4 linked regions of the Pelodiscus sinensis genome follow. The protein of the gene in region 1 purifies or fractionates together with the protein of each later gene. This does not show direct contact. Links are inferred from orthologs where the notes say so. Each region holds a gene or a part of one and is shown in the gene's direction. Other genes may lie near its edges. The genes, in order: ERLIN2, TMEM259, CANX and TMUB1.

Region 1 (7,494 bases):
CACATCTTGATACGGTTAAACACGTGGCCACAGATGGTTTCCCATTTAGAATAACAATATAGCTTGAGCATTATGAAGCACAACCCCGTTGGTGAGCCAAAAAACACCCTGCCTTTAAAAGGCTATTACTTCTAAATATTATATGTATTTTGTTTCAGCTCAGAGCAATTTCCTAGTTTACTCTTATTAAACCAAGAGGCAGTTGGGCAGCAGTTCTTGATTTATGAAACACATACTAGATCCATTAAAACCTTTAAAAATTTAATACATTTTATCAAGAGCTTAAATCTGGGCAAACATTTATAAAATCTAATACAGGGCATATTTCATCCCAGGTGCCCTTTTGCGCTTATTTAAGAGCTGTAAAATTTGAATTGACAAATATTGCAGATATTTCACTCCTTATTTCTAACTGGTGCCGAATTCTTCTGACAGGTTTGTTATATACACCCTGGGAGATCTATCAAGTGTAAAGATCAAATTATTCTCCTTTATTGACATTTTATATGTCTTTTCTATATTTCTTAAGTCCCCTTCAACAATTACGGACGCTGAAGATTTAATATATTTTTGCATGGTCTGTCACTTTTCTTATTATTACTACTCAGTCTGGCCAAACCTGCAGTGGAATAGGGAACAGATTTTTTTAAATCGCCTCCAGATTTGTCAGACAAGGAAAAAGAGAGGCAAAGAATTTGTGACATGGTCTAGCAGCCACTTCACAGCTTGAGATTGACATTGGATTAGTGTCAGTCAGGTGGAATTCAGGAGGTTTTGATTTCTAAAGAAACTCAGCTGAAATCTTTCCCATGCAGAGGGACAAGGAAGGCAGGTGGAATAGAATGTATCCATCGCAGCCTCGCTGTGGGACGAAGCCAGCCCCCCGAACAGCTATCTATTCCCCTCCCCACCCCATTGCTCCTAGCCCTATTGTGGGGCAAAGGTTCCTTCAGTCTGCTCCTGCCTGAAATTTTGAGCCTACCTTAGCCAAAGACCTGTCCAAGGCCACTTCTCAGCACTATGAATAGATCTGAGTCACTTTCATCCACCCGGAAACTGAACAACAAACATCCCAAAGACAGCGTCTCCAAGCTGCACAACACCCACCATAGCACCAACAAGGCAGCCAGCTTTAACTAATTAACTACCAATTAACCAACTAACTCACTCTTTGGGTATGTCTACACTGTCGTTTTTTCCGGAAAAAAGGCTATTTTTCCAGAAAAACGACTTACGTCCACACTGCTATTGCGTTCTTTCGACAGAAAGTCAAAAGAACAGAGAGGTTTTTCTGATAGCAGTAAACCTCTATGAGGAAGAAGTCTTTTTCTGGGGAGCTTTTTCAGAAAAAGGCATGTGTGGACGCGGAAGAGAGTGTTTTTCGAAAGAAGAGGCCTCCAGGAAAAAGCACTCTGTCCACAGTAATCACAGCTGAAATGCAAGATAGGGTCCATTCAGAGTGGACGCTCTCTTTCAAGAAAGCAGATCACTTTTCCATTGCGCTTTTGCTGTGTAGACATGCTCTTTCAGAAGAAGTTTTTAGGGAAGATCTCTTCCAGAAAAGCTTCTTCCAAAAGAAGCCTTCAGTCTAGACGTAGCCTGAAGCACCTGGCTTTCCTTGGTCCCAGCAAGGAGATCACAGCCATGGGCTCTGGCAGCAGGTCAGTTCCCAATGTGGAGCAATTGCTACAGTCCACAGGATGCTAAAGACACTCTTTTTTTTTTTTTTTTTTGCATTCCTTTCAAAAAACTGAAACTTGTATTTCAAGAGATGTTTGCAGTGTGGCTGTAGCCAGGTTGTGGGGTAAAAGCTTTTATTGGACTATCTGCTGGTGAAAGAGACAAGCTTTTGATCATCCCAAGAAAAGCTTGAAAGTTTGTCTCTTTCACCCACAGAAGCTGGGTCAGTAAAGGATTCTCGCCCACCTGGTCTCTCAATTTCCATCACCTTGCATTCACCTGGACTGCTAGCTGGCTTTGCATGTACTCACTCAGCAGTACTGCATGCACTGACTTTCCCAGCATGGATTTGTGCATGCAGCCAGTCCGCTGAGTTCGACTGTACCCCAGCTGGCTTCAGGCAGAGGTTTCACCCAACACTCTTACAAATGTTAATTCACTGACTGTAGCAGTCAGGCATCACCGGGGGCAGCCTGACAGGTCTCCTGCTTCTTCAGTGTTGACAACCGTTCAGCTGTGTGCGTTCATGCGTTTGCTACCCGCTAACTGTGTTGACCCTGCACAATTAGTCAACACAGCAGACTCCGAGAGAGCCCCCAAAGACCACAGAATCAGATAAGGATCGAAGGCGGCAGACCAGGTTGATTGTAGGTGAGATACGGTCCTAGCTTCTCCGGATCAAAAGGTCTATAGTTAGGCTAACACAGGCATGCCCTTTACAATGGGTCGACGTTGCTTTATTTGAGCAAAGTCTTCACTATTGCTCCTAGGCCTCAGGCCTTATGTTTCAGGCCTGTGATACAGTAGCGTATGTTTCAGACCCTCATCTTACTATATGGACTTTCACTGCAGCCCCCATTTTACAGATGCAGAAACTGAGGCGCAAAAAGGCTGCGGGTAAAATTTTCGAAAGCATGTAAGAGCTGCCATGAGGGGTCAGATCATGGTTTATCCTGCCCCATATCCTGTCTCCAACATTGGCCGGTGCCAGAGCTTCAGGGGATTGTACAGAAAAGGGCAATTCTAGAGTGGTCCAGATCTGTCTTCCAAACCTGGCTTCTGGCAGTCAGAGGTTAGGGTCACCCTGGGCACAGGGCTGCATCTCTGGCCATCTCTGCTAAGAGCCATTGATGGACCGACTGTCCTCCCATTTCAATGGAGACTTAGGAACCTCTGGAAAGAAAATGACTTCAACTCAAAACAAAATGATTAGCACCCGTCCATGTGGTCAGTGTGGCAGAGCTGGGACTATAAATCATACACAGATCTATGGGCCCTATAGTAACAGACCTGGGAACAGAACCCAAGACTCACGGGCCATAGGGATGAGCCTGTTTTGGAAAGAGGCATAGGAGCGTGGCAAACTGATGGCCACATAGCAAGTGAGCATCGGACCCAGGAGTCCGGGAGTCCACAGTGAATTGTTGAGGGAGCCAGGAAATTGACCCAGACGCCTGGGACTGCAGGCGGGTGGGCGCAGGAGCCAGGCATGTGGGGCTGCAGGCGGGTCAGTGCGGGAGCCAGGCGTGTGGGGCTGCAGGGGGGTCAGTGCGGGAGCCAGGCGCGTGGGGTTGCAGGCGGGTCGGTGCGGGAGCCAGGCGCGTGGGGCTGCAGGCGGGTCGGTGCGGGAGCCAGGCGCGTGGGGCTGCAGGCGGGTCGGTGCGGGAGCCAGGCGCCCGGGGCTGCAGGCGGGTCGGTGCGGGAGCCAGGCGTGTGGGGCTGCAGGCGGGTCGGTGCGGGAGCCAGGCGCGTGGGGCTGCAGGCGGGTCAGTGCGGGAGCCAGGCGTGTGGGGTTGCAGGCGGTTCGGTGCGGGAGCCAGGCGCCCGGGGCTGCAGGCGGGTCGGTGCGGGAGCCAGGCGTGTGGGGCTGCAGGGGGGTCAGTGCGGGAGCCAGGCGCGTGGGGTTGCAGGCGGGTCGGTGCGGGAGCCAGGCGCGTGGGGCTGCAGGCGGGTCGGTGCGGGAGCCAGGCGCGTGGGGCTGCAGGCGGGTCGGTGCGGGAGCCAGGCGCGTGGGGCTGCAGGCAGGTCGGTGCGGGAGCCAGGCGCGTGGGGCTGCAGGCGGGTCGGTGCGGGAGCCAGGCGCGTGGGGTTGCAGGCGGGTCGGTGCGGGAGCCAGGCGTGTGGGGTTGCAGGCGGTTCGGTGCGGGAGCCAGGCGCCCGGGGCTGCAGGCGGGTCGGTGCGGGAGCCAGGCGTGTGGGGCTGCAGGCGGGTCGGTGCGGGAGCCAGGCGTGTGGGGCTGCAGGCGGGTCGGTGCGGGAGCCAGGCGTGTGGGGCTGCAGGCGGGTCGGTGCGGGAGCCAGGTGCCCGGGGCTGCAGGCGGGTCGGTGCGGGAGCCAGGCGCGTGGGGCTGCAGGCGGGTCGGTGCGGGAGCCAGGCGCGTGGGGCTGCAGGCGGGTCGGTGCGGGAGCCAGGCGCGTGGGGCTGCAGGCGGGTCGGTGCGGGAGCCAGGTGCCCGGGGCTGCAGGCGGGTCGGTGCGGGAGCTGGAGCTGGAGCCAGGCGTGTGGGGCTGCAGGCGGGTCGGTGCGGGAGCCAGGTGCCCGGGGCTGCAGGCGGGTCGGTGCGGGAGCTGGAGCTGGAGCCAGGCGTGTGGGGCTGCAGGGGGCGATCAGGCGCGGGCCCTTGGCGTGAGTCTCTAGCTCCCCCTGGCGGTGTCGCCGCGGGAACTGCAGGCTCCAGGGCCGGGGGGCGGGGCGGCGGCGCGCAGTGATGACGGGATCCCCGTCACCGCGGCGGCGACGCACCCGGAAGTCGTTGCCGCCGGCGGTGAGTGCGGGCAGCCTCGCTCCTGGCTCCCCGGCCCTGCCCCCCCCACTGAACCCCCCCTTTTCAGAGCCCCTCCCCTCCACCGAACCCCCTTCCTGGGGCCCTTCCCCCCACAAGCTCCCCCCCCCGCGAGCCGCACGCCAGGGCTGGGACTCCCTGTCCCCTGGGGCTCGCCCCCCCCGTGGCTGTCTGGGGGTCCCTTAGGGGTGGGGGGGACACGTGGGGACAAGGGCCCCTCCCTCGCGTCGTGGGCTGCGCGGGTGGAGCCGCCCCGCGTGGGGGGGGAGGCGAGGGCCCCCCCGCATTGGCTGTGGGGTCCTTGGGGGGCCCGAGCTGGGTGTCGGGTCGGTCCCTTTCCCCCCAGAGCAAAGACACCGGCGCTTTTTGGAGGCAGGCGCTCGGGTGCGAACAGGCCTGCTGGCTGCCACGCTGGCCCAGATCAGGGTTTATTGGCCCAATGCCCTGCCTGGGCTCCTGGGGCCGATTTCCGATGCTTAGTAGAGTCCTAGAATAGAATCCCAGGGCGGACAGAAAACTCAGGAGGTCATTGTGTCCAAGCCCCTGCCCAAAGCAGGACTAATCCCAACTAATTGATCCCAGCCAGGGCTTTATCAAGATGGGATTTAAAAACCTCCAGGGATGGAGATTCCGCCCCCTCCCTGGGGAACCCAGCCCAGAGCTTCCCCACCCGCCTAGAGAAATAGCTTTTCCCAATATCCAACCTAGACCTCCCCCGCCGCAACCTGAATATCCAAACTAGACCATAAGATCCTATGTAGTCCCATGCATGCTCTGACATTTGCAAATAGTAAATAACAGTTTGTTTTCAAATAATATTCAATTACTATTCTGTGGGTGCAGCTCAGTTACAATGACAGTTACAATGTTTCATTTGGCAGCCTCTGTCATTTAATCAGGATTGCAAGAGGCCTTTTGTCCCGTTGAGGGGGTATATAGCACCTGGAGTTAATGTGTCCACATCAAACACACTGTTTGCCAAGAGTCCTCTAGTGCACCTGTACATGTTGCCAGGATAGCAGAGCAGCTTTAAACTCCGTGGAGCTTGAGCCTGGAGAATGCTAATAACGTGAAAGAAATGTAGCCGTGTTAGTCTGGTGTAGCTGAAACAAAATACAGGACTATGTAGCACTTTAAAGACTAACAAGATGGTTTATTAGATAATGAGCTTTCATGGGCCAGACCCACTTCCTCAGATCAAATAGTGGAAGAAAATTGTCACAACCATATATACCAAAGGATACAATGTTAAAAAATGAACACATACGAAAAGGACAAATCAAATTTCAGAACAGAAAGGGAATGGGGGGGTGGGAGGTAAATGTCTGTGAGCTAATGATATTAGAGGTGATAATTGGGGAAGCTATCTCTGTAATGGGTAAGATAACGTGAAGTGGAAGTTGCACTAGGCTTTCCTTTAACTATACCCGGATGCGGTGGTGGCGGGGGGAGGGTGTCTTAAAACTGATACTTTAATCAAAGCACAACAGGAGAGAGATGTCTGAGATGTTGCCGAGGGGTGGCTAGAGCAGCAGATGGAACTTCTGAGTTCAGTTCCCAACTCTACTATAGATTCACTCCATGACAACGGGCATGCCAGTTCACTTCCTCAGTTTCCTTATTTATAAAATGGGAGTAAAACTGACCCCTTGGGAATACCTATGGGACTTAATTTCTGTGAAGCACCCTCAGCTGGAAGCATAGTTATTATTAAATCTAGTGTTAGTATTAGGCAACGTGCATTTGGTTAAATATTTCTCAGTCTCTGATCTCGTGCTCTATGTCCCTTTGCCCAGGCCGTGCACTCAGGAATGGCCCAACTAGGTGCGATAGCGGCCCTGTCTCTTAGTTTTCTGGCTGCAGCTCTCTTCTCTGCAATTCACAAAATTGAAGAAGGACATATTGGCGTTTATTATAGGTAAGGCATGCATCTGGAATATTGTTTGGGTCACAATATTTTGAAACCATTATCCAGTGGCTTCCCCCGTCAGAGGCCAATTTACTGTCAGAGTGTGGTGGAGTTGGGAAAGACAAAGTTTGCGATCCCAAATTGGCAGAAGGCACACCGGCAGTCTTAGAAATGATCAGTGATTCCGCATTAATATGAAAAACTTGTGAACCATCCTCCTTCACCTGGATGTAAAGTCTGAATTCAAGCTTCTGTGTTATCCCCAGAAGAGTTGATGATGCCCCCAAATCCTAATATGGGAATAAGGATTGCAGCTCTCTGCTCTGTGTCAGGGGCTTGTGATGTTAGCTATGTTAGGAGAGAAACAGAAGTTTGGGTTCTGGTTTGAGATGTCTGGCAGGTGACTGGAGAGTGAGAGATGTAGATGAAAAGTGCGGAGCTGGCAGCCACAAGGATTTAAGTCCTCTGTTCATCCTCTGATAACATACAGCATTGGCATTGCTTGCTTCCCTTCTAAAAAGTATGCCCTGAGCTAAAGGGACGTCCTTTGTGTGTGAGAGCAATTCGGTCTCCATGACTCATTCAACCCTTAGCAGCTCTGATGAACCTGCCAACCGAGGGGCTGACTAATGACAAATGTATTAACATGTTTTAGTGATGGGAGACCCTTCCACTAACTCGTTCCACATAAACTAATGAACAGCTGTTGCATTGTAACAGCTTTTGGTTACTGGATTTGAACCAATGGCTTGGAGGTGGAAGGTCCAAATCTAATGGCACTGATTTTCAAGTATTAATCTTAGGGTATATTTAGTTTGTCTCCATCTGCTTTGGGGTTATTTATGTCTTTAGAGATCATTCATTCTGAAGGTGTGTTTTTCCATGTTTTGATCATGAATTTGTAAAGGTTTTCAAATCCACAATCCTAATGCTGTGTGTCTGACTCTTAGTTAGCGGGTGACTTTTCACACCCTAACTGGCAATTAAACGTGGCTTGTGACAAAGCAAAACCAGCCCTCACAACCACAGAGAACAGCTTTTCCTTGCTTATTGACAATAGGGTGAACTTGAAGGAGAATAGTGTCCAAGCACAGCTGACAAGTGCAGATATCTATCTGTTTG
Region 2 (7,100 bases), on another chromosome or scaffold:
TGCATGTCAGTACCCGTCGTGCACACACGCACGCACACGCACAAGCACACACACACAGACACACATTCAGACACTACTCACGCACACACACACACCCACACACATGCAGACACCCCCCCCCCCACACACACACACACTGGTCTAGCTGTCCCGGCTTGTCGGGGACGGGGACCTATCGTGGGCCGTACCTTCCCGCGGAGGCTGGCCCGGTGGGGGGCGGAACACCAAGTCCGTCCACGAGAAGTGGGGCAGCCTCGGCTGCGCTCTCGCCTCCGTCCGGTGCCCCAAGCCCATCCTCCGGCGGGGGGCGGGCAGCCGTGGGCGCTCGGGTACCGGTGGGGAGCGAGGGTGCGGGGGGGGGAAGCCGGAGGGAGACGCTGGAGGAGGCGGGGGGCTGGCCGTGCACGGAGGCAGGTCGGAGGTTCCCAGCATGGGCCGTGCCCTGGTGTCTCCCCTCTGGGCAGATCCATCCACCTGCCCAGTGCTGGGCTGCGCCGTGGGGTGGCCCCTGCTCTGCGGTGCCTGGGACAGTAACCAAGCAGGGGGCCGCTGCCGGGGGGGCAGGGCCGGTGTCTCTTAAGGTGGAATTGCTCACATGGGCCGGTGCAGAGGGTTTGGCTCATTCACAGGTTGCAACTTCCGACTCCCGGCTCCTTCCCCTGCCTGCAGCCCCAACGACCCCCGGATCCCTGTGCCCCCTGCACTGGGCGCCGTCCCCGATCCCTGCCTGTGACCCTGTTCCCTGCCAGCCTTGCTAGAGACACGCACGGGATGGTTATTAGCTCACACTGCTCAGCAGGGGCTTTACAGAGGAGCGCAGTAGCATCATCCCCATGGGGAAACTGAGGCACCAGGAAAGGGTTGTGACGTACCACTGGCAGGCCTGTGGGAGACGCAAGAATAGAATCCAGATTGCCCAAGCCTGTGCTCTAACCATTAGCTAGCACTGCCACCACCCCAAACTTCCCAGGACCTAGCCCTTACTTGGATAGACGCCCTGCCCCCGCACTAGTGATGGCCTCATACGCTCAGACGGGTACGGATCAGGGTTCAATTCAGAGCAGTTTCTGGAGGCCGGGGCCCCACTGTGCTCAGCGCAGGACGTATGCCGAGCAGGGAACCCTGCCCCTCCCTGCGGCGCTTACTGGCTGCTGTGAGCCCACGGCCGGCTTGGGTCACGCAGGTGGGGGCAGGGGGTGGCCACGAGGCGGTGCAGCCTCTGGGATGTATTGGTGCCCGGCAGGGGCAGGTCTCGGGCAGTGTTCCCTGTAAGCTGGGCACTTGGGCAGCCCCCGCAGGAGAGATTCAAATGCCACCCAGCTGATTCTCAGAGCACCTGCAGCCAGCAGCCTGTTTCAACTGGTGGTGCACATCCGCACATGCCTCGGTGCACGGAACAAAATTTATTCCCCCATGGATGGAAAAAATGAGAGGGAAGCCTGGTCTCAGAGCCTCCTCTGTAAGGTTGGCCAGAGATGTGGCTGCAGCCAGTTTCTCTCTTGCTGCCAGCATGGGGCTTGTGGCCCATGGGCTCGCAGGCAGAGGGGCTCGTGGAGCAGTGCGTGACTGAGGCAGGGATGTGCCGGAACACCAAGCCGGCTCTCCAGGTGCGCTGGCGAATTGCCAAGGCCTGGTGCAGCGTGTGACCGTGCAGCCCGGGCCTCCGGTGCTGCCTTGGGGATGGGATCCCTCGGGAACGCCCCCACTGGGGCTCCCCGCCAGCCCTTCTCGGGCGGCTCAGGCCTCCCGCCTGCTGGCGCCACCTTAGCTGAACACACACACACGCACACACACACACACACACACACCCCTAGGCCACTGCACCAGTAGCAACACAAACAGCCCGGATCAACAGAGAGCCCTGGCGCCAGCGTCCTTCCTACCAGCCAGGCAGGGGGGCCAGAATTCCCCGGCAGGCTGGCCTCACCGCAGGCTCATGGGGAGGCCCCAGGGGTCCCTCTCTCCTCTTGCAACCCTGGTGCCCCACGGAGTCACCCCGCCCACGCAGCAGGGGCCTTGTGTGAATTCATCCGTGCAGGGCCTCCCACCTGCCCGGCCCCTTAGAAATTAGCCAGGCAGGTGCCGCTCGCCCGCGCCTTGCTCGGCCCCGGCAACGTGCAGGCGGCAGGGCCCAGCTGTGGCCGAAGGGGCCTGGTGGCTTTGCCTGAGCGGGGGCTGCTGCTGTCCCGCGGGGCTGTCTGGGGGGTGTGCGGGGTTGTGAGCCCAGGCTCCAACTCAGCCTGGAGCCCTAGCCCAGGGCGTGGCCTAGGAGCGGCCTGGCTGTGACGGAGTCTCTGGCCTCTCCCCGTCTCAAGGCTGCGCCCCAGAGGGTGGGGCCGGCAAGCGACTCTAAAATACCAGGCCACTAAAGGAATCTGTTTAAAAAACTCCCCATGGTCACAGATTCCCTGGCCTTGGTGTGGCTGCCACCAGCCAAGGCAAACACCCCTTGCGCCCCCCAAGATGCACTTGGGAATTTCCTCCTATGGGTTACTCCAGCTCTTTAACCCTCTTTCCAGACAGCGCTTGGGAAAAACCTGCACTTCTCTTACTACCTGCCCTTGCAGTTCTAGGCTGCACAGAGCCGCCTGCCGGCTAGGACCCAAGGAGAGTTTTTGAACCAAACACAGAAGACCTACTGGGTAAAGTGTTACTTGCTTGCTGCGAGTTACAGAGCATCTGAAACACAGCAGCTTGAAAACACATTCGCAGTCAAGCCATCCCCCGCCTCCATGGCCCATCAGACAACCCAGACACACAACCCTCCCTGCCAGGGGCTGTTGTGGAGGGTCAACGTATAACTGGGTTCAAAGAAGAATTCGACATGCCCGGTCCGTCACTAGCTATTAGCCACGATGGCCTGGGCCCAGTGTTCCTTGAGCAGCTGCTCAAGAGAAATTCAAACGCTGCCCTGCTGATTAGCAGAGTGACAAACAGCCAGGTGATGTGGTTCTATTGGTGGTGCACATCGCACATGCCCCAGTGCACATCAAATTATTCCGCACGTGGATGGAAAAAAATTAGTAGGAAGGTTGCCTGGGACATAGCCCAATGCTCCAGGTGTCCTTTCAGAGGCTGGGAGATTGGCACAGGGTGGATAATTGCCCTGTTCTGAGCTGTGATGCCCTGCGCTGAGCTTTGGGCTGTAAAAGGTTCCTGGGGAGCAGCTGCCCCAGTGGATTCAGTAGCTGGGCGGTGGGAAGAACCAGGCGGAAGCCAGCCAGGCCCCAAAAATATGGAACGCTTCACGAATTTGCGTGTCATCCTTGCGCAGGGGCCATGCTAATCTTCTCTGTATCGTTCCAATTTTAGTATATGTGCTGCCGAAGCGAGCACGAATCTAAGTGAAACCCCGGAGCTATTTAAACCTCCAGAAGTGAAATATTTCTCCATTAGGGTGATTTGCCTCGTGTCCGCGCTGGGGTGCCTCAGTCACTAGTGAACGAACCACGCGGATCCTGATCCTCTCGGTGGCTTTTTTTCACTGTTCCTCCGTTTTAACGCTTTTAATTTCCTTTTTATTTTCTAACCAGGCTTCTTTCGCGGCGCATGCCGGGAACCACAGGGCGCGCCTTAGTCGAATATGCAAATAAGGCTAAAACGTAGGCCCGGCCCCTCTGGCCCGCCACCGTCCCGGCGTCCCCTGCGCAGCTGCCGCTCTCGGGCCGGCGCGCGCTCGTTGGCGCGGTGCAGCCTCCGGGCCGGGGCAGCAGGAGGCGGAAGATGGCGGCGGCGCGGGCCGGGTCGTGAGACGCGGCGGAGGGAGGCGGAGCGGGGCCCCCATGGCCGCGGGGCCGGCCCAGGAGCCGCGTCCCCGCCCGGGCCTGCCGCGGCCCCGCCGCCGCGCGTGACCCCCCCGCGTGACCCCCCCGCGTGACCCCCAGGGCCCCCCCGCGTGGCCCCCCCCCGCGTGACCCCCCCGGGTGCCCCCCCCGCGTGACCCCCGAGCCCCCCCGCGTGACCCCCCAGGGCCCCCCCGCGTGACCCCCCCCCGCCCCCAGAGGCCCCCCCGAGTATCACACCCGGGCCCCCCCCCCCGCGTTACTCTTCCCCCCCCCGTGTCCCTCTGCCCCCAGGGTCACCCCTGAGCTCCCCCCGTGTGACCCCCCCACCCGCGGGCTCCCCTCGCAGCGGTTCCCTCTGTCCTGTGTGAAGGGGGGGGCTGAACTACTCCCCCCCTCCCCCCCCCCCGGGCTGGTTCTGTCAGATTTGGTCTGGAACAGCACCCCTCCCCCAGCCGCTTCCCCCCCCCCCCCAAAAGGAGTCCGAGCCTCCCCCTCACCTTGGTGACAGGCCTGTGATCCCCGCGCTCCCGAAACGGCCGGGTGCCCCCGCCCCACAGGGCCAGGATGTCGGAGAACCAGCCCAATGCAAACCAGCACCAGCACCCGGTGAACAACAACGGGGCCGGTGGGGCTGCCGCGGGGAACAACCGGGGGGTGCGGAACCCCAACCTCAACCAGAACCCCCTGATCAACGTGCGCGACCGCCTCTTCCATGCCCTCTTCTTCAAGATGGCTGTCACCTACGCCCGCCTCTTCCCACCCTCCTTCCGCCGCATCTTCGAGTTCTTTGTCCTCCTCAAGGTGAGGGGCAGGGCCACGTGTGTGTGAACTGGGGGCACGTTCCACTAAGGATGAATAGTCGATTAACCTCACAGTTTATCAGTTAGTCGACTATTCTATAGTCCCTGAGAGTGGCAGCCCATGTGCTCTGGCCCCACTCCCGGGGAGTCCCCTGTCACCCTGCGCTGCTGTCTCTCTATCAGAGGCAGCAGCGCAGGGTGCCAGATGGGAGCTGGTCTGCCAGAGGAGCCAACTTAAAAACCAGCTCCTCGTGTGGACCGGCTTCCTCTCACCCCACTCTGTTGCCCCTGGAGATGCAGCCGCTCAGGGTTGCAGGAGGCTTCTCGGGAATGGGGTCAGCACAAGCTGGAATTGAGCGGAGCTGCCTGCCCACCTGGCTCCTAATATACTTTAAGTCAAGAGCCACAGTGGGGGGAGATCCTGGACCCAGCACAAGCCAGGACTGAGCCAGGCTGCTGGCCGGGCTACTAACAAAAATTACTGGCAGGGAGGGGAGGGAAATGCATGTAGTCTGTAGCATTAACCTGTGAGCGTTTGCTTATGGGTTAATCAACTATACTATTACATCTCTACTTTCTACATCAGTCTTCACCCCCTTGTACAGCTCAGTCAAGCCTGACTTGCTTCCAAACAGCTGTTAACCCACAGGAGAGATTGGCTGCTACCCTAGGATCAGTCACCTCACCCCACCTACACTGGCCGGAGAGACTTTCCCATCAGGCTGGTGTATTTTTCTGTTGAACCATTATATACGGTAACTGGGTGCATGGCTCCAGGTTGGGGTAGGTAGATAGTCTCTGGGCTTGGCAGTGGTGTAGGAACAATCTCCAACCATTAATAGATCTGTTTTCCATGACTAAGTATGTGAAACTTCCCTTGGGAGACGTATCCAAAGACTTATTCACTGCTGCCTTAGAACTGTACTGCTAAACCTACACACCTACATTTCCAGCCCATCTGAAGAGATGGGTTTTGCCCATGAAAGCTCATGATCCTACAGGTTGAACCTCCCAAATTCAGGTCTCTCTGGTCTGGCAACATCTGTGGTTCAGCATGAGAGAGCCCCAGAGCAGGAGGCCCAGCAGCTGGGAAAGTGGTGCAGCCTGGTGAGTCTAGCAGCAGCTATGCCGCAGCAGCCTGAGCAGCAACAGCAGAGCACAATCAGGGCTGCCTACTGCCCGACAGCAAGGCTGGGGCTGCAGCAACACGGGAGGGGAATCTAGGCTGGGGCCTTGGCGCAGCCTCGCAGAGGCAGCGTGGCTGGAGCCACGTGCCACCCAGCGGGGGATTGGGCCTGCAGCATCCCAGTTAGACATCGTGCCGCCCAGCTGGCAGCGGAGCTGGGACTGGCCAGAAGGCAGCCCGGCTGGGCCAAAGTTGCCAGCAGCAGGAAGGGACTGAGGGGCTGGTGTCAGGTAACCTCCCGTTGTCCAGCAAATTCCCTCATCCAGGACTGGTCAGATCCTGAGGGTGCTGGACCAGGGAGGTCCAACCTGTATGTATATTTTTGTTAGTCTCTGGTGCCACAGGACAACTCTTTGTACCTACCTTTGAGTTAATGCTGATTACGTATGGTATGTTCCATGTGCCTTAAACAAAACGTTTAACCTTAGATAATCCAAGCATGACACCCAGATGTACAGATCCTTTCCTCTTAACTTGTGTACCACGTGAATTTTTATTTTACACATTAGCTGTAATAGCATTTCCGAAACTTTCCTATCTAAAGTCACAGGTTCTAGTCCAACCTAGACTGATAGGCGAGTGCACACCACCATCTGATGGCTGTGTGGCCAATAGAAAATGATTTGGTGTTTTCAACGTGGTTTCGGAAAAGACAGTTTGGCTAAAATGGCCATCGGCGCTTTCTTGCGCAAGAGAGTGTCCACAGTGTAGACATAGCCCTGGTGTCTGGACTCCATTGATAGGGTGTTCAAAGTCCATGGTGTTCATATGGGGACCGTGGATCATTTTAGGATCCAGCTGGGGTTCCTGTCTCTCATCAAGGTCTGAGTTCCTGTCTGATGCTGGCTGTCTAAGGGGTTTGGGGAAGAGCAGGGGCCATGTTTTCTATTAAGTTGGAACTGATTACAGAAGGCTGTAGAATAGACTATCTAGGGAGGTGGCCCAAAGAAGGCTGCTTTGACTCCTTTTGAATCACTTTGTTTCCACATGATTTTAGCTCATGCAAAATCTAACTGAGGATCTAACTGCAGGATTGGTGGTATGAGAGTAACAGAGTTCAGTGCTATTGCCCCCCTGTTCTGATATGCCCATCTTGAAGCTATTTGGGCCTCTTACTACTCAGAAAATTGTGCAGTCTTTCTTGTGCTTTCATGGGAAGCATTCATTATTCCTAATTGCTTGAGGAAGTATTTTGTGTAGTTAAGAGAGAATTGTGTCTTTCAGTTTCTCTGTCAAAATGATTGAGTTTGGTCTTTTGGGTTTTTCAGCATGGCTTCAATCTTCCAGTCTGATGGCTGACTACTGGATTTGGGAAGAGTTTATCTGTGT
Region 3 (7,760 bases), on another chromosome or scaffold:
TCTTTGGGTGGATCTCAGTAACCTGTGCTTGCTTAAACACCAACTCAGCCAAAACTCTGGTGTGTGCTGCTTTTCAGTATACCCAAAACAGTTTTACATTAACAAAAAAAAATCCTGTTATACCCTGACCTGGGCAATACATTCAGACACTACTAGCACAGCACCCATCCTTTGTTAGAACAGGCCACTCAAGTGGTATCTATCTAGAAGTTATGGTTAATGGTGCTAGCAGTCTGTCTCAACTTTCCCTAATTTTTGATCCCTATTTACTGCTAGCCTACACTGACCTTTTTGTAAGCTATGCAGAGGGAATAGGAGCAAGAGACTCCTTCGTTTTCATCCTTGCTGTGCCAGTAATTTCTTGTGTGATCTTACAAATACTGCTCCTCCTCTCAGTGTCTCAGTTTCCTATTCTAAACAATGGGGAACAGTACTTTCCCCACTTCACAACATTGGTAGGAAAATTATGAAGCTCATGTTTGCAACATACTTATCATTTACATAACATTTTACATCTACGGTGCTATATCTTGTTTCAGAGAAATGAATGCAGCATAGCTTAGATTTTTCTGCATGATATAGAAAACGTTATCAGAATTTTACATCAGTATTGTCTCAGTGGCACGCATAATAAACTGGGCTGTGTATGTGCATAACTGCCATCTACTGGATAGAATTGGAAGAGCCCAACAATGAATCACAAAACGGTGTTCTGCTATTGGAGAGTCTTCTTTTAGTTTGTATTTGTGGAACAAAAGAGTGGGAATTCTGTCCTGACTGTTGCAGTGAAGTCCTAAGTGGTGAGCAGCACAGTAATATATGTGGAGACCAGGTATGCAGGTATAAAAATGTCATTTAAAAAAAATCACACCCCAAGGCCTCAGATGTAGTGCTAGGATGGCCATTGACAGATCTCCAGAGTACTTCTTGCATGGTGTGGGCCTGCCACCTGCCAGAATGGCCTCTCAAGGACAACTAGCTCCTACTGCATGCCCCGTCAGTAGTGACACCAGGGCTGTGTCTACATTGGCGCTATCTTGCGCCAAAGCAGCCGCTTTTGCACAAAAACATGCTGCCTGTCTACACTGACGGGGAGTTCTTGTGCAAGAACACTGATGTTCTAATATGTGAAATCAGTGCTTCTTGCGCAAGAACTATGATGCTCCCGCTCAGGAATAAGCCCTTTTCCACAACTGTTCTTGTGCAAGAGGCCAGTGTAGACAGGCAACATGAATTTCTTGCGCAAGAAAGCCCGATGGTTAAAATGGCCATCAGAGCTTTCTTGCACAAGAGAGCATCTACACTGGCACGGATGCTCTTGCGCAAAAGCAAATCTCTTGCACAAAGGCACATGCCAGTGTAGATGCTCTCTTGTGCAAATACTTTAACGCAAGAACTCTTCCATTAAAGAGTATTTGCGCAAGATCATGCCAATGTAGATGTAGCCCTGGACTGTCTGGCTTAAAACTTTCAGAGGGTTAGCCAAGTTAGGCTGTAACAGGAAAAACTTAAAACACAACAAATAGTCTGGTAGCACTTTAAAGACTAATAAAACACATAGATGATATCATGAGTTTTCGTGGGCACAGCCCACTTCTTCAGATGACTAGAGAATGGAAGGCCTGCCTAGATCCTGCATGTCCTCTTTTTAGGCTTGCTCTCAGTTGGTCACAGCTCTATGTTTTGAGGAGTGGGTTTTGGGTAACGTACAGTGCTCAGGATGAAAGGGAAGGATGTGCAAGTGTGTTGAGAGGTGTGTTATCAAATTGCTGTAACTGTCTTGCAGTTACAGATTGGCAGACTTAGGCTGAAGAAAAAGACTAGCAGCAGGCAAAATACAGCCTGTTTGCCACAGCCTCAGGCCACTCAAAGCAGCCAGCTGCTGAGGCCTTGTGCGTCTAGGCACTGTGTACCCCTTGCAGAAGTGGGGGAAACTTTGTGCGCTGCCCCCACCCCCAGCCCAATCATCACAACTCCCATTGGCTGAGATTGTGCTGGGGGTAAGGGCAGCATGTGAAGTCCCTGTCCCGTCCCCGCCCCGCAGCACAGTGCAGAGGAACATGGCCCCAAGCAGCCAGCCACTTTGAGCAGTCTGGGGTTGCCTGAGTCCCACTGGGCAGCTGACAAAGCACTGCCTACCAGCCAGAACCTTCATTTGGCATCCCACCCCCTCCCATACCCCAACTCTCTGCCCCAGGTAACCACCCAAATCCTTGGCACCCCTCTGGTACCCCTACCCCAGGTCACAACTCCCTCCCAGACTCACGTGCCCTCCTATGCTTCTCTCCAGTCTAGAATCCTCTCTTGCACCGTGTGACGGGGTTTTGGAGCGTAAGCTGCCGCCGCTGAGGGCAGGGCCCAGCGAGCCCTCCCTCTGTCTGTCTTAACCTCCCCGGGTCGGCTATATGGGTGCGAGCCTCTGCCCCAAGTCTGAGGGCAGGGCCCTGTGGGCCCGCCAACCCTGTGGGGACTCTGGCCCTCCCTGTAAGAACTTTCTCCATCAGATTAGGCTTGTGGATGGATGAGTGGATCGAGGAGGTGTAGGGGGACCCGGGCCCTCCCTCTCCACTGGGTCCCAGCCCGGGGCCCTTAGGGTGGGCTTGGCCGTCCCTACCCAGCTGATGGGGATTCCACCCGAAGCTCTCCAGCCCACAGGCACCAGAAGCGCTGTGCCCTGGGCTGCTTCCTAACACCCCCTCGACTATTGGGTCCCTCTTTGGGGACCCCAAGAGTTATCCTTCCGGCGGGTCACGATGATCTCTGCGCGGAGTTCTGGTTTGCCCGGCCACTTTCCAGCTTTTGCCACCGAGGAGGAATGAACCGTTTCCCCCGATTCTGCAGGCTGTCCCCAAAGCTGGAGCCACCCCTCCATCTTCTGCTCTCGTCCTTTTCAAGGGTGCCGCCATGTTGCGCTTGGGAGCATGGTTCTGCCCCCTGCCGTAATCCCCACAGGCGTCCAGCCCCGGGCAGGGGTTCCTCCCTCCTCTGGGAGGGCCTGTGTTGCTACCGGGGCTGGCCTCAGGGCTGGGGTGGTGATCGGGGTCCCGCCAGGGGTGGCCCTGGCTCGAGCCACCCCCCCACTTTCCCCTCCGTCTGCCGCTACCTCCTAACCTCTGCCCCAGGTTGGGCCCTGCCACGGGTGCCACGCGGGATGCCGTGGCGGCGCTCGGCTGCCCCTCTCCCCGGCCATGATCGGCTGCCACGGCTTCCACGCGGCTTGCAGCCAGCAGCTCAGCCCCCGCCGCACTCTCCAGAGTGCGGGCTGTGTCCGGCCCATCACACACCTATACCCCCTTCCTGACCCTGCACCCCCTACTTTGTACCCCAATCTCCTGCCCCAGTGTACCCAAACCTTCTGCACCCCTCTCCCAGGTCAGAGTCCTCTTCTGCATTCAATCCCCTGCCCCAGGTAACACTTCACTCAAACTCCCTCTCACACCCTGCACCCTCGCTGCACTCCAGTCCCCTACCCTGAGCTCCCATTTATTCCCATCTCTGTGCCATACCATGGCATGCCCTCCATAGAAAAGTGCAGCTCTTGACCACTTACCAAAATCTTGGAGTGGCCCCCCCCATCAAAAATTATTGCCCACCTCTGGAACAGACTGAGGGATAACAGTTCCTTGGTTGTGCCTTAAGCACTAGCCCCTATGCAGATCTCTGCCAGCTGTCCCGCCCCACCTCCTATGTTGACCTCTTCCAGCCCTCTCAACCCTTGCCCCAGCACTAGCCCCCAGAAGCAACTGGTGAGGTAGTTTCCAGGGGGGAAAGCAGCCATATGCTCCCCCCACAACCTGAGGAAGGCCTGGAACAACCCTCCTCTGCCCCAAGCCCTGCCTCTCTCTACCCCTTCCCCACCCTTGTTCCTCTCCCACCCCATCTCTTCCTTCTGCCACACCACTTCCAGTGAGTGTAGGGGCAGTCCCACCACTCCCCAAGAGCAGCACCAGCAAGAACTGCCTTACTATGCTTTCCCCGCATCAGCCCTGCTGGGGAGTGTGTGCGTATGGGCTCCAGCAGCTGTTGCTGGTCAGCCCTTCAGGGGTCAGTGCCGCCCTCCCCCTGCACTCATGGATAGTGCCACAGCAGAGAAAGCCTCTGCTAGTTCCCACCACCCCTCCCAGCATTGGCCTCTTATGGCTTCTTAGCAGAGCACTCACAGCTGGGTTTTGATTTTACTGGTGGTGCACATTTGCATGTGCCTCAGTGCACATACAATTATTCTGCACATGGACAGAACAGAGGGAACATTGCTGCCAGCTCCCCCTTCCCAGCACTGGCCCCTATCCTGGCCTAGCGGCTACACTGCTCCCAGGAGCAAGGACAGGACCTAGGCACCGCTCCTTTAAGAAACCCAACGCTTCCTCCTGCAGGAATCTGATTCTTCTTCTCTCACGCTCCACCCACCTCCCCGTGTTAGCCAATCAGCGCACACTTCCTGCGCAAGCGGCCAGCCAATCACCGCGCTCCACGAAGGGCAGCGCCGTAGGGGCGTCGCTTAAGACGGGAGAAGCGGCGCCATTGACCAATGGGAATGCGACATACGCTCCGGCGCGGGAGGTCGATTGCTGGCTCAATCAATGGGGAGGTAGGAGTGGGGCGGAGCTAGCGCGCGGTAGATAGGCGGGCGGGAGGGCAGGCGCGCGCGCGGGCGGCCGCTCCGGCTAGGACACGTGACGGGGGTGTTGAGGCTGCGGACGGCGGCTGCGGGGGGCGCGTGGCGAGGTGAGTGGGGGTAACCCCCGCCCGGTAGAATCGCAAGGCCGGGCCTGCTTCTCTTCCCCCCCCCCCCGGGCTGCCGGGGAAGGCTCTGCCCGCGGGGCATGCTGGGGCATTGGCGGGGGGCGAGGGCGCGAAGGGCCGGGGGTTGGGGTGGCGGGCGCGGAGTTCGCAGGCGCGGGGCGTGGCAGGGCTCGGCGTGAGGGGGAGCGAAGCCCTGTGGGACGCGGCGGGGCTGGGCCTGTAACGGGTTTGCGAAGCCGGGGGGGGGGGGGGTCGGTGCGGCCCCCGCGTGTCCGTTGCCAGTCCCGGCTGGGAACCCGCCGGCGGAGCCCGGGACGGGCGAACGGAGGCCGGCGCGTGGCCAGCCGCGTCCAAGGTGCGCGCAGGGCTGGGTGCCGCGGCTCTTCCATTCCCCCCTCTGGGCTCGACCAGTGGCGGGCGAGGCAGCCCGTTCTGGTAGCTTCTTGTCGTGGGTGGGGCGAGCGACTGACACTGGCCCGCGTGGCCGAGGGCTGCGGGGGCATGTGCTCATCCCAGTGCGATGCGGCGCAGAGACTGTGGGCTTGGGCGGAGGCGAGGTGGAGGCCGAGCTGGTGGGGTTTTAATATGCGTACGGGGGAGGTGAAGTCACTAGGACTGGATCTGCCCTTGCCAAAAATCGGGGTGTTCAGAAATGGCTCTTCTGACCGGGCGTTTCTGCAGAGGGTGAAAGATGCAATCAGGACTGGAGCAGTATGACTGGAGGGAAACGGGTGGAAGTTACTGGAATGAAAGAGTTCGGACCACAGAAATAAGAGTGGAGGAGGAAACAGAAATAAGGTGTGGAGGAGGAAACGGAAATTAAACAATATGCCTAGTAAAAGGCATGTAAAACAAAGGTGACCTATAAAGTGCAGCACTTTATACAATTTAAAATGTATATCTCCTGAACATAGCTTCTATTTTTTTTTTTTAAAGCTGTGTGTCTTTTTCAAGGCAGTATGTAATGGAACCCTTGCTGCTGTTCATTGTGGTGGTCTGGCATCACACAGACCTTGAGTTAAAGTAGATGCTTTCTGTCTTGCTACCTCTAATCTTTTTAGATAGCTCTGAATGGGAAAGTAAAGGGAGAGTACTCTGGACTGAACAAGAAATGCAGCGATTGAATTACAGAGTAAGCAGCCATCTTCTTGGAACTTTTATCTGAGTTGACAACTGCCTTCGAGTATCATGTCTGCATAGAGCCTGAATTAATTTTTCATGGCAAATATCCAATAGTAGTAGTAGTAGTAGTAAATATTCATTAAAATGTGGAAGGTAATTGACTTATCTCTGTTAGCAGTGCTCTTTAGTTGCTGCAACAATTTTTGCAAATGGTTTTATATTTGCAAAAATATAGAATATAAAAATATTCTAGTCACACTAGAATGGTTTGCAGTTTGTGTGCACTTGAAAATCAGGCTTAGGAGTGTTCTTGACTAGAGGTGTGTGTATCAGTTACCTATCCTGATTTGGCAATATTGTTGTCTGGCTCTAGGTGTGGTGCCCCAGAGAACTTGAAGGCTGGTTTATAGGCAGAATGATAGTAACATCAGTGTGCGCTAGTGAAATTGGGGAGGTGACAACGCATAGGATAATACATCTTTGAATAACAACCACCGAGAACAATAAAATATTTGCATTTATGTTCAGTCTGCAGTTAGTTCTAACTTGCAAAACTCTCATAATGGTCTTTTCAAAGATACTATTAAAATCCAGCCATAAAATCACCTGGCTTCAGCCCAAAGTACTTTCACTTAATTCTAAAATTATTGTGTATAAACTTCTTAGACTCAATAGAAATGTTGTTTAAAATACACTGAAATTTCTCTACACCATTTACAATTGAAATGCTACAGTAATGGAGTAGGGCAGGCGTTGGGAACCTTTTTTCTTATCAGGGGCCATTGACCTCCAGAAAAACATCAATAGTGGGCCATATTCAGCTCTGTCAGGGAGGGTGTTGAGGGTTGGGCCAAAACGAGAACTTTGAAGTGTAGAATGGAGTTCAAAATTGGGATGTAGGAGGGGGTGAGGGCTCTGAGTGGGGGTGCAGGCTCTGGGCTGGGATTGAGGGGTTTGGTGTGCAGGAGGGGGCTCCAGGCAAGGAGTGAGGATGTGGGTTTTTAGAGAGCGTTTGGGTGCAAGAGGGTGCTTAGAGCTGGGGCAAAGGGATGGGATGTAGGAGCTTACCTCAGGCAGCTCCCATTCACAGTACTGTGGTGCTAAAGCAGGCTCCCCACCTGCCCCGATCCTGTACCTCTGCTGCAAAGCGGCCATAGCTGGCATTTCCCTGTGGTCCCTCATGCGGGGCGGGGGGCCGGGGGAAGAAGACAACACACATGCTGTCCTTGCCTGCAGGTGTCACCCCTGAAGCTTCATGAGCAAGTGGTGGTGCTGACAATTACAGCCTGGCCTGGGGGGGGGGCGCGGCGCAACACACCAAGGCTCAGGGCTTTTAGCCTGTGGCATAGAGACTTGATGCTGGCCAGATTAATTTAATCAGGGGGGTCTTTAATGTGACACCATCCCTACAGTTAGTTTTTAAACATTTCCCTTCCAACAGCTTCTGATCCTAAGAATTCAGTGTAACTTACTCAGTTTTTTCCCAAATAAACTTAACTTTGTCCCCTTCTTCCCTCTCCTGCCCATTCTGCATTTATGGCATTCATATTCCTGTCTCTTCAGTGCTTGTCTTCATCCATTTAACTTGGCACCATAATGGAAAACTCCACCTGGAAGAAAGGCTGTTGCTTTTGATCCCAAGACAAATTTGAGTTGGTTTGCAAAAGTGACAGCAAGACTGCTAAGTATGCTTTTCCCACTAAGTGAATTCTTGTATCTTGAGGTATTTCCATAATTTTTGTTATAAATACCCATTTGTTTTGATTTACAGTACCGCCAGTGGCCTTTGAAGGCTTCCAGGTATGCATGAATTACCTTATTTGCTAGCATAATTTTGCAGAATTCCTTTCCTTTACTACATCTCCATTAATGCAACTTAATTTTGGAAGCTCTTT
Region 4 (8,062 bases), on another chromosome or scaffold:
TCTCGGGATGCGGCTCTCGGGACGTCCGCGCCGCCTGGCTCTCGGGACGCGGCTCTCGGGACGCCCCTGCCGCCTGGCTCTTGGGAAGCGGCCCTCGGGACGCCCCCGCTGACTGGCCCTCGGGACGCCCCCGCCGCCTGGCTCTCGGGACGCGGCTCTCGGGACGCCCCCGCCGCCTGGCTCTCGGGACGCGGCTCTCGGGACGCCCCCGCCGCCTGGCTCTCGGGACGTGGCTCTCGGGACGCCCCCGCCGCCTGGCTCTCGGGACGTGGCTCTCGGGACGTGGCTCTCGGGACGCCCCCGCCGCCTGGCCCTCGGGACGCAGCTCTTGGGACGCCCGCGCCGCCTGGCCCTCGGGACGCCCGCGCCGCCTGGCCCTCGGGACGCCCCCGCCGCCTGGCCCTCGGGACGCCCGCGCCGCCTGGCCTTCGGGACGCCCGCGCCGCCTGGCCCTCGGGACGCCCCCGCCGCCTGGCTCTCGGGACGCGGCTCTCGGGACGCCCCTGTGACGGCGCGATGGGGTTCCCCCGTCTCCTGCACCCCGAAATGGCACAAACAGACTGCACCAGCCAGTGGAATAGAGGAAGTTTATTGCCTCTCCAGGATACAGCACAGCACAGATGTAATCTGGTCACAGAGCTGGGCTAGGATGCCTCAGGCCCCCTTGAGATGGGGGAGACTGGGCCCCTAAACTCCAGCCCCTTCCCCTAGGCTGTCTCCTCCATGCTCCCAGCCAGCAACTAAACTCACCCTCTTCCAGCCCTGCCCCCCAGCCAGGGCAGCATCCACCTTCCTTTGTTCCTCTCCATGGGGGGTGTCTGACCACTGGTTCAACAAGTTTGGCCTTCCCTCTGCCTAGTGAGGTTTTCCCTGCTGGGTCTTGCTCCAGACAGCAGGGGTCAGCACAGCCCAGCAAGTACCCCCACTACGTCACAGTTCTCCCCCCTCCGAGAGCGAACTGAGCAGGGTCACTCCGCTCGTGACCTAGGGAAGTTCGGGTCCTCTGCGTGGGAACCCGCCCTGGGGACATGGGTGCTCCCCTTGACTCAGGCCGGCCGTGGCGAGGCCCCACATGAGCTGGCTTCCCTCTGTCCACTCGCCGCCCCGCTCCAGGGCGACTGGCACAGGCCTGTCCTCGGGGGTCACACCCACCCTTCCACTGGCCTTGATCTCTGGCCAGGGTCTCTCGGGCCGGGGCCATGAGCCCAGTGAGCCTTCTCTGGACAACCAGGGCGGCTCCCACACCCGACGCTCCATCCAGGGAGGACTTCCCCTCCCATAACTCTCTCAGCAAGCCCAGAGGGTCTATCTGGGGTAGAGACCCCCAAGCCGCTTTCCTCCTGTCTTGGGCCTTCCCGCCCCTCTGGCAGGAGTCACAGGACCGGCAGTACCGCTGCACGGCTGTAAAGATTCCCGGCCAATAGAAGTGCTGGAGCAGCCTCAGCCGGGTGCTCCGGATCCCCCGGTGGCCCCCAACGGGGACATCGTGGGCCAAATACAGCAGCTTGAGGCGATACTTTCGGGGGACGACCAGCTGCCGCTGGACCCTCCATGCCCTCACCTTCCTGGGGGGAAGCCATTCACGGAACAGGAGCCCACGCTCCACCAGGAATCTCTCCTGGCCACCTCTCCCACGGGGCTGAGCTGCACGGAGGCCAGCCTGGTCCCTCAGCCTCTGCAAGGAGGGGTCTGCCTGCACCTCTGCCTGGAATTCAGCTGCTGAGGCAGGGATCGGGACCTGTTCCCCACCTTTGCCTAGGTCCGGAGTCCCAGCCTGGCTGGACCCCGTGTCCACTGGGATGGGACCCTGAGGACGCTGCCAGGAGTCCTTCCCTGGACCCACGTTGTCAGCCCCCCGCTGGCTCTGGCTCCGGGTAGTGACTAGAGCCCGCTGGGATTCATGGGGCCACTCCTCTAGGTCATTCCCCATCAGCACCTTGGTGGGCAAGTGCGGGTGCACCCCCACTTCCTTGAGGCCTTCCTTCGCCCCCCATTTCAGATGCACCCGGGCTACAGGCACCTTAAACGGGGACCCGTCTATGCCCTTCAGGGTCAGCTGGGTGTGGGGTAGTATCCGGTCTGGGGCCACTATGTCGGATCGGGCCAGAGTCACCTCCGCCCCCGTGTCCCAGAAGCCCGTCACCTTCCTACCATCCACCTCCAGGGGTATGAGGCACTCGCTCCGCAGGGGCCGTCCTGCCCCCACCCGGTACACGGAGAAATCCGCCTCCTGAGAATCAGACCTCCCAGGGGAGGTGCACTGAGCACCCTTCCCCTCTCTCTGAGCTGAGGTTTGCCTGCCAGCCCCTGCCTCTGGGACAGCCTGCCCTTCCTCCCGCCCCAGCCAGTTAACCCTGGAAAGTCCCCGGTCCTGGGACCTGGTGCACTGAGCCCTCTTGTGGCCTTTTTGCCCACAGCGATGGCAAGTTAGGCTTTGGGCTGTCTCTGTCCAGGCCCTGGCTGGTTCTCTGGGGCACAGACGACCTGTTCCTTGGGCTCGCCCCGTAGTTGACTCTCTCCGTCGCTCAGCTGAGATCCGGTCTCTGCGCGGTTCCCTTTCTCTCCGGGACTCCCGTTCACACCCGGACCGGCTCTCCGTGAACTCATCTGCCAGCCTCCCGGCCTCCTGGGGGTTCTCTGGTCTCCGGTCCTTGAGCCACAGCCTCAGTTTGGGTGGGCACGCTTCATAGAACTGCTCCATCATGACCAGCCTGAGCAGCTCCTCTGTGGTCTGGGCTCCGACTCCAGACACCCACTTGCGGCAGTATTGCGCCAGGCGGGAGGCCAGGTCCACATAGGTCTCCCGTGGCCCTTTCTGTACCCCCCGGAGCTTCTTCCTGTACATCTCGGGGGTCAGCCCGAACTTGTGCAGCAGGGCCTCCTTGACTCGGTTGTAATCCCCTGGCTGTAGGTCCTCCAGCTGACTGAGCACTCCGGCCGCCTCCTGGTTCAGTGCGGGGATGAGCTCCTGCAGCCAGTCAGCTGGGGGGACCCGTTGCAGTCCACAGGCCCTCTCAAAGGCACTGAGGAACCCGTCTATGTCACCCATGTCCTTCAATTGGGCCACCACGGGCCTCTCCAAGCATCTGGCAGTCCTGGGACCCTGGGGCCCATCCGCACTTGGCGCAGCCGGTGCCCCGCCGGTTCTCCGCTCTGCCATGGCCAGCTCATGCTGTCGCTGCCTCTCTCGGTCCTGGCGGTCCCTCTCTCGGTCCTCTACTTCCAATTCCCTGATCCGCAGCTGGATCTCCAGCCGCAGCAGCTCCGCTGGGCTGTCCCCTGCCCTAGATGGGCTATTACTTGCAGGCCTCCCGGGAGACGCTGTCTCATCTCTCCGGTGGGTTCCAGCGCTCCTCCCCCCCTCTGAGCCTGACACACTCTCAGGAGGGGTCTGGCTGCTCCCCCTGGGGACAAGATCCTGGCCCTGTGGCTGGTCATTCTCTTCCAGCCGGGCAATCAGCTGGGCCTTGGTTGCTTTCCCCACGGGCAGGCCCCTCTCTCTGCACAGCCCCACCAGCTCTGCCTTCAAGAGTCGGGCGTAGGCCATCTGCCCGCTGGGCCCCTCGGTGCAGACTCACCAGTCTAGTGCTGCAGCGCCCCACGATTCCCAGGAACCACTTCTCTCTGCCTCCAGCACGCCTGGCTCCAGGGCTCTTGCTTCTACAGCGCCTTGTCACTTGCCACTGGAAGCTCCATCCACGGGGTGCAGTGCATCCCGCTCCTGACACCAGTGTGACGGCGCGTTGGGGTTCCCCACCTCCTGCACCCCGAAATGGCACAAACAGACTGTACCAGCCGGTGGAATAGAGGAAGTTTATTGCCTCTCCAGGATACAGCACAGCACAGATGTAGTCTGGTCACAGAGCTGGGCTAGGATGCCTCAGGCCCCCTTGAGTTGGGGGGAGACTGGGCCCCTAAACTCCAGCCTCTTTCCCTAGGCTCTCCTCCATGCTCCCAGACAGTAACTTACTAACCCTCTTCCAGCCCTGCCCCCCAGTCAGGGCAGCATCCACCTTCCTTTGTTCCTCTCCATGGGGGGTGTCTGGCCACTGGTTCAACAAGTTTGGCACTACCTCTGCCTAGTGAGGTTTTCCCTGCTGGGTCTTGCTCCAGACAGCAGGGGTCACCACAGCCCAGCAAGTACCCCCACTACGTCACAGCCCCGCCGCCTGGCCCTCGGGACGCGGCTCTCGGGACGCCCCCGCCGCCTGGCTCTCGGGACGCGGCTCTGCCTGGCCCTCGGGACGCGGCTCTCGGGACGCCCCCGCCGCCTGGCCCTCGGGACGCCCCCGCCGCCTGGCCCTCGGGACGGGGAGGGGCAGTGTGGCAGGGGAGCTGCGGATGGGGTGGGTGGGGGCTGGTGTGGCAGGGTAGCTGCGGGTGGTGGGGGTGGCGGGGAGTGGGGGGGCCGGCGTGGCGGGAGAGCTACGGGCGGGGGGGGCTGGCGTCGGGGGGGAGCCCAGCGTGATGGGGGAGCTACGGACAGGGAGGGGCAGGGTGGCAGGGGAGCTGCGGGGGGGTGGACGGCCTGACCGGAGAGCTGCGGGCGGGGGGGGGGCGGCGTGACGGGGGAGCTGCGGGCGGGGGGGGCGGTGGGCGGGGGGGGCCGGCGTGACGGGGGAGCTGCGGGCGGGGGGGGCAGCGGGCGGGGGCTGGCGTGACGGGGGAGCTGCGGGCAGGGGGGGCAGCGGGCGGGGGGGGCCGGCGGGGCGGGGGGGGGCCGGCGTGACGGGGGAGCTGCGGGCGGGGGGGGCGGCGGGCGGGGGCTGGCGTGACGGGGGAGCGGCGGGCGGGGGGGCGGCGGGGCGGCGGGCGGGGGGGCTGGCGTGGCGGGGGAGCTGCGGGCGGGGGGGCCGGCGTGACGGGGGAGCTGCGGGTGGCTGAGCCCCACGTGTCGTGGCTGAGCCAGAGGAAGCTGGCGGCCAGGCCCCCGAACTCGGTGCCAGGCTGTGGGGAGCAGCGGGGCCGGTTGGCCCTGCCCCCCAAGCCAGGAGCAGCGGAAAGGGGCTCTCGGGGGCTCTGGCTGCTGCCTGGGCGGGCCCGGGGCGCTCAGCTGCTGCTCTGTCCCTCTGCAGGCTGGTGACCCGGCTGTCCCGGCGCTGGCCCGCGGCCATGGCTCTGATCGAGGGCGTGGGGGACGAAGTCACCATCCTCTTCGGCCTGCTGCTGGTGCTGCTGGTGCTGGCGCTGGCCTGGGTGTCGACGCACACGGCGGAGCGGGCGGACCAGGTCTTCGCTGCTCCCCCCAGTCTGGCGGCTGGGCGGCTCGGGGCAGAGAGCCTGCTGGAGGAGGAGTCCCGGGAGCCCGGCGCGCCGGCCCCAGCCGCAGGGGGGCCCAGGGAGACGGCGGAGCCTTCGGCAGGTGCCGCGCCAGATGGGCCTGAGGGCACGGCTGCAGGGCTGAGGCACCGGGCCAGCCCCGGATCTGCACAGGGGCCCCCGCAGCCGCCCGAGGGCCCAGGCGCCAGCCCCGAGGCCGTGGACAGTAGCCCCACGGAGCGCGGCACCGTGCTGCGGCTGAAGTTCCTCAACGACACGGAGCGCCTGGTCTCCGTGCGCCCAGACGAGACGGTCGGCTCTCTCAAGAGGTGAGGGGCACGGCCGCCCTCTCGCCTGTGGGAGGGGAGAGGCTCTGGCATCCCTCGGCCTTGCTTGGCCCTCCCTCCCTGGTGCTGGACATGGCTCTCCGCTGCCACCCCCCGGCGGTGAGCCTGCGTGGTAGCCTGAGCCTTGGCAGCGCTGGTCACGGGAACAGCGAGGGCACCCGGCAGAATGCCAGGCCACGGAGGCGATGGGGGCTCCTGGGAGGGAGGTTGGACTGTGCAGGCTGAGGCGTTGAACGCGCGCTCGCCACGCGGGGGCTGGGCCGCGCAGTGGCAGATGCAGTTCCGTGCTGATGGGTGCACAGACCCGAGCGCGCGCACCGCCGGGGACTGACTGGCTGTTCCCACGCAGCCGTGGCAGGAACGTGGGGCCCCTTGGGAGGGGTAGGTAATGCGACAGGAGGCGTTCTACGGCTGCCACGGGGAATACTGAGTGCAGGGCTTCTTGCCAGCCTTCCCTCATCTCTCCCGTCCACGTGTGGAATCAGTTTTCTGGTGTGCACTAAGCGTGTGGGCTGTGCACCACCAGTAGAAACACGCTGCTTGCGATGGACGGCTGCGGGCGCTCTGCCAGCCAGCTGGTGCTCAGCGCACAGCGAAGGCTGCTGCTCATCCCGTCTCAAAAGCTGTATTTGAATGGGAGAAAGGGCCGAGAACCACGGGGCCGTGGTCCGCTCGAAGAGAGGCTGGACGAGAGGAGAGATTGCAAAGACTGGGACTGGCAAAAAGACGACTCTGGCGGAGTCGACCAGTCCAGAAGAGCGGGGGGGTCAGAGCAGTGTTATTTACCGCTTCCCAGAACACAAGGCCCCGGGGCCACTTAGCGACGTTAACACCAACCAGAAGGAAGGGCTGCTTGGCACCGCGCACTGTCCATCTGTGGAACTCCTTGCCGGGGGCGGCGTGGCTAGGTAAAAGCTGGATGAAAACGCACTCGGTCAGTTCCCGGAGCCAGGGCGGTCAGGACACAGCCCCTGCTCCAGGCCTGGTGCTGGGAAGGGATGGCGGGAGAGATCACTCGGCCGCTGGCAGACAGGACCCTGGGGGAGCTGGGCGGGGCCGTTCAGAGGCTCCCGGGGGGCTGGAGTGACGCTGCCCTCCTTGTGTCTCACCACAGGGCCCATTTCCCCGGCCAGGAGCACCAGGTGCGTCTGATCTACCAGGGCCAGCTGCTGCGGGAGGATGCCCAGAGCCTGGCTGCGCTGCATCTCACCCACAACAGCGTTCTCCACTGCCACGTGTCCCAGCATGGCCCCGCCCCCGTGGCTGCTGGCCTCCGGGCCACCGCGGACCCCGTGCACACGGCCCTCAACGTGGGCAGCCTCATGCTGCCGCTCTTCGTGCTCATGCTGGCTGCGCTGTGGTACTTCCAGCTGCAGTACCGGCACGTCTTCACCGCCACAGCCACCACCTGCCTGGCGGGCCTCACCCTGCTCTTCAGCTTCGTGGCCTTCGCGCTGTACCGCAGATAGCGCTGCCCCTCCGGCCGCGGCCTAGCCCCATGCTGCCCCCAACGGGCTCGGGGCTTGTTTGGCAGGGTGGGGGCAAGGCAGGACTGGCCGGCCGGGTGTCACCTGGTTCTGCTGCCGGAGGTGCTGTGCAAATAGAATCTGCCCAGACGCCCGCCCTTGCACGTGCTTGTGCGCAGACTGGGCACGGCTGCCCCGCACGCTGGCTGGAAGCCGGGTGCCCTTTTCCCTGCGAGCTTGAGTGGGCGGGGTCCCCGGGCCGTGGGGCCCTTGCAGCGGGGCAGTCGTGCTGCACGAGGGGCCTGGTGGGGGTCGTGCTGGCCTGGCTCAGCCGCGGGGGGCTAACGGAGCATGGTTCTCATTAGTGCTTCTTTTCAAATTAAAACCTGTGACTGACTGAACTCTGCCTGCCGGCCTGCTGTGTGTGCGGGGCTGCGCGGGGGGGGCAGAGGAGGAGGGGGCATGGGCCGGAGAGGGGCTGGGCTTTCCAGGGCGGTAGGGGAGGGAGACGGGGAGTGGGGGGCAGGGTGTGAGGGGGATGGGAGGGAGCAGACAGAGCAAGGAGGGGAAGGTAGAGGCGGAGCGGTGGGGGAGGGGGTATGAGTAGGGGTGGGCCGGGGGAGGGGAGCGGTGGGGGGCGGGGGAGGGGGTATGAGGAGGGGGTGGGCCGGGGGAGGGGTTTTGAGGAGGGGGAGGGGCCGGGGGAGGGGAACGGTGGGTCGGAGTGGGAGGGGCGAGGGCGGAGGAGCGGCAGGTGGGGGCGGGGTCTCGGGAGGGGGCGGGGCAGATGGGGGGGTCGCCGGGGGCCGCGAGCGAACGCTCACCCTCATTAGCATATGCAAATCGAGCCCGGCCTCCGCGGCGGCGGTGGGGCGCGGCAGGCCCCGCCCCCGGGCCCGTGGGGCGACGCGGGGGCTGCCGGGAAGATGGCGGACGCGGCGGCCGGGCGGCGCTGAGGGGCCTGGGGCGGCGACGGGAGCGAGATGTAGG

Evidence for each region.
Region 2: the proteins of ERLIN2 (region 1) and TMEM259 purify together in Homo sapiens (affinity purification with mass spectrometry; 3 studies listed by BioGRID and IntAct, with this or other methods). This does not show direct contact. The link is inferred for Pelodiscus sinensis from reciprocal best matches to the Homo sapiens genes ERLIN2 and TMEM259.
Region 3: the proteins of ERLIN2 (region 1) and CANX purify together in Homo sapiens (affinity purification with mass spectrometry; 4 studies listed by BioGRID and IntAct, with this or other methods). This does not show direct contact. The link is inferred for Pelodiscus sinensis from reciprocal best matches to the Homo sapiens genes ERLIN2 and CANX.
Region 4: the proteins of ERLIN2 (region 1) and TMUB1 purify together in Homo sapiens (affinity purification with mass spectrometry; 4 studies listed by BioGRID and IntAct, with this or other methods). This does not show direct contact. The link is inferred for Pelodiscus sinensis from reciprocal best matches to the Homo sapiens genes ERLIN2 and TMUB1.

The regions. Positions count from the first base shown.
Region 1 is NC_134738.1:14,904,396-14,911,889, forward strand, and holds the start of ERLIN2 (erlin-2), read left to right. Parts: upstream 1-4,348; 5' UTR 4,349-4,388; coding exon 4,389-4,445; intron 4,446-6,259; coding exon 6,260-6,381; intron 6,382-7,494. UniProt on the Homo sapiens protein: Component of the ERLIN1/ERLIN2 complex which mediates the endoplasmic reticulum-associated degradation (ERAD) of inositol 1,4,5-trisphosphate receptors (IP3Rs) such as ITPR1.
Region 2 is NC_134729.1:16,440,083-16,447,182, reverse strand, and holds the start of TMEM259 (membralin), read left to right. Parts: upstream 1-4,080; 5' UTR 4,081-4,349; coding exon 4,350-4,586; intron 4,587-7,100. Other genes in the region: uncharacterized protein LOC142818988, read right to left, coding at 189-432. UniProt on the Homo sapiens protein: May have a role in the ERAD pathway required for clearance of misfolded proteins in the endoplasmic reticulum (ER). Promotes survival of motor neurons, probably by protecting against ER stress.
Region 3 is NC_134727.1:34,174,990-34,182,749, forward strand, and holds the start of CANX (calnexin), read left to right. Parts: upstream 1-4,584; 5' UTR 4,585-4,725; intron 4,726-4,939; exon of another isoform or gene 4,940-5,098; intron 5,099-5,516; exon of another isoform or gene 5,517-5,541; intron 5,542-7,636; exon of another isoform or gene 7,637-7,665; intron 7,666-7,760. UniProt on the Homo sapiens protein: Calcium-binding protein that interacts with newly synthesized monoglucosylated glycoproteins in the endoplasmic reticulum. It may act in assisting protein assembly and/or in the retention within the ER of unassembled protein subunits.
Region 4 is NW_027466049.1:4,698-12,759, forward strand, and holds TMUB1 (transmembrane and ubiquitin-like domain-containing protein 1), read left to right. Parts: upstream 1-4,896; 5' UTR 4,897-5,112; coding exon 5,113-5,588; intron 5,589-6,720; coding exon 6,721-7,075; 3' UTR 7,076-7,473; downstream 7,474-8,062. Other genes in the region: FASTK (fas-activated serine/threonine kinase), read left to right, coding at 7,860-8,057. UniProt on the Homo sapiens protein: Involved in sterol-regulated ubiquitination and degradation of HMG-CoA reductase HMGCR. Involved in positive regulation of AMPA-selective glutamate receptor GRIA2 recycling to the cell surface.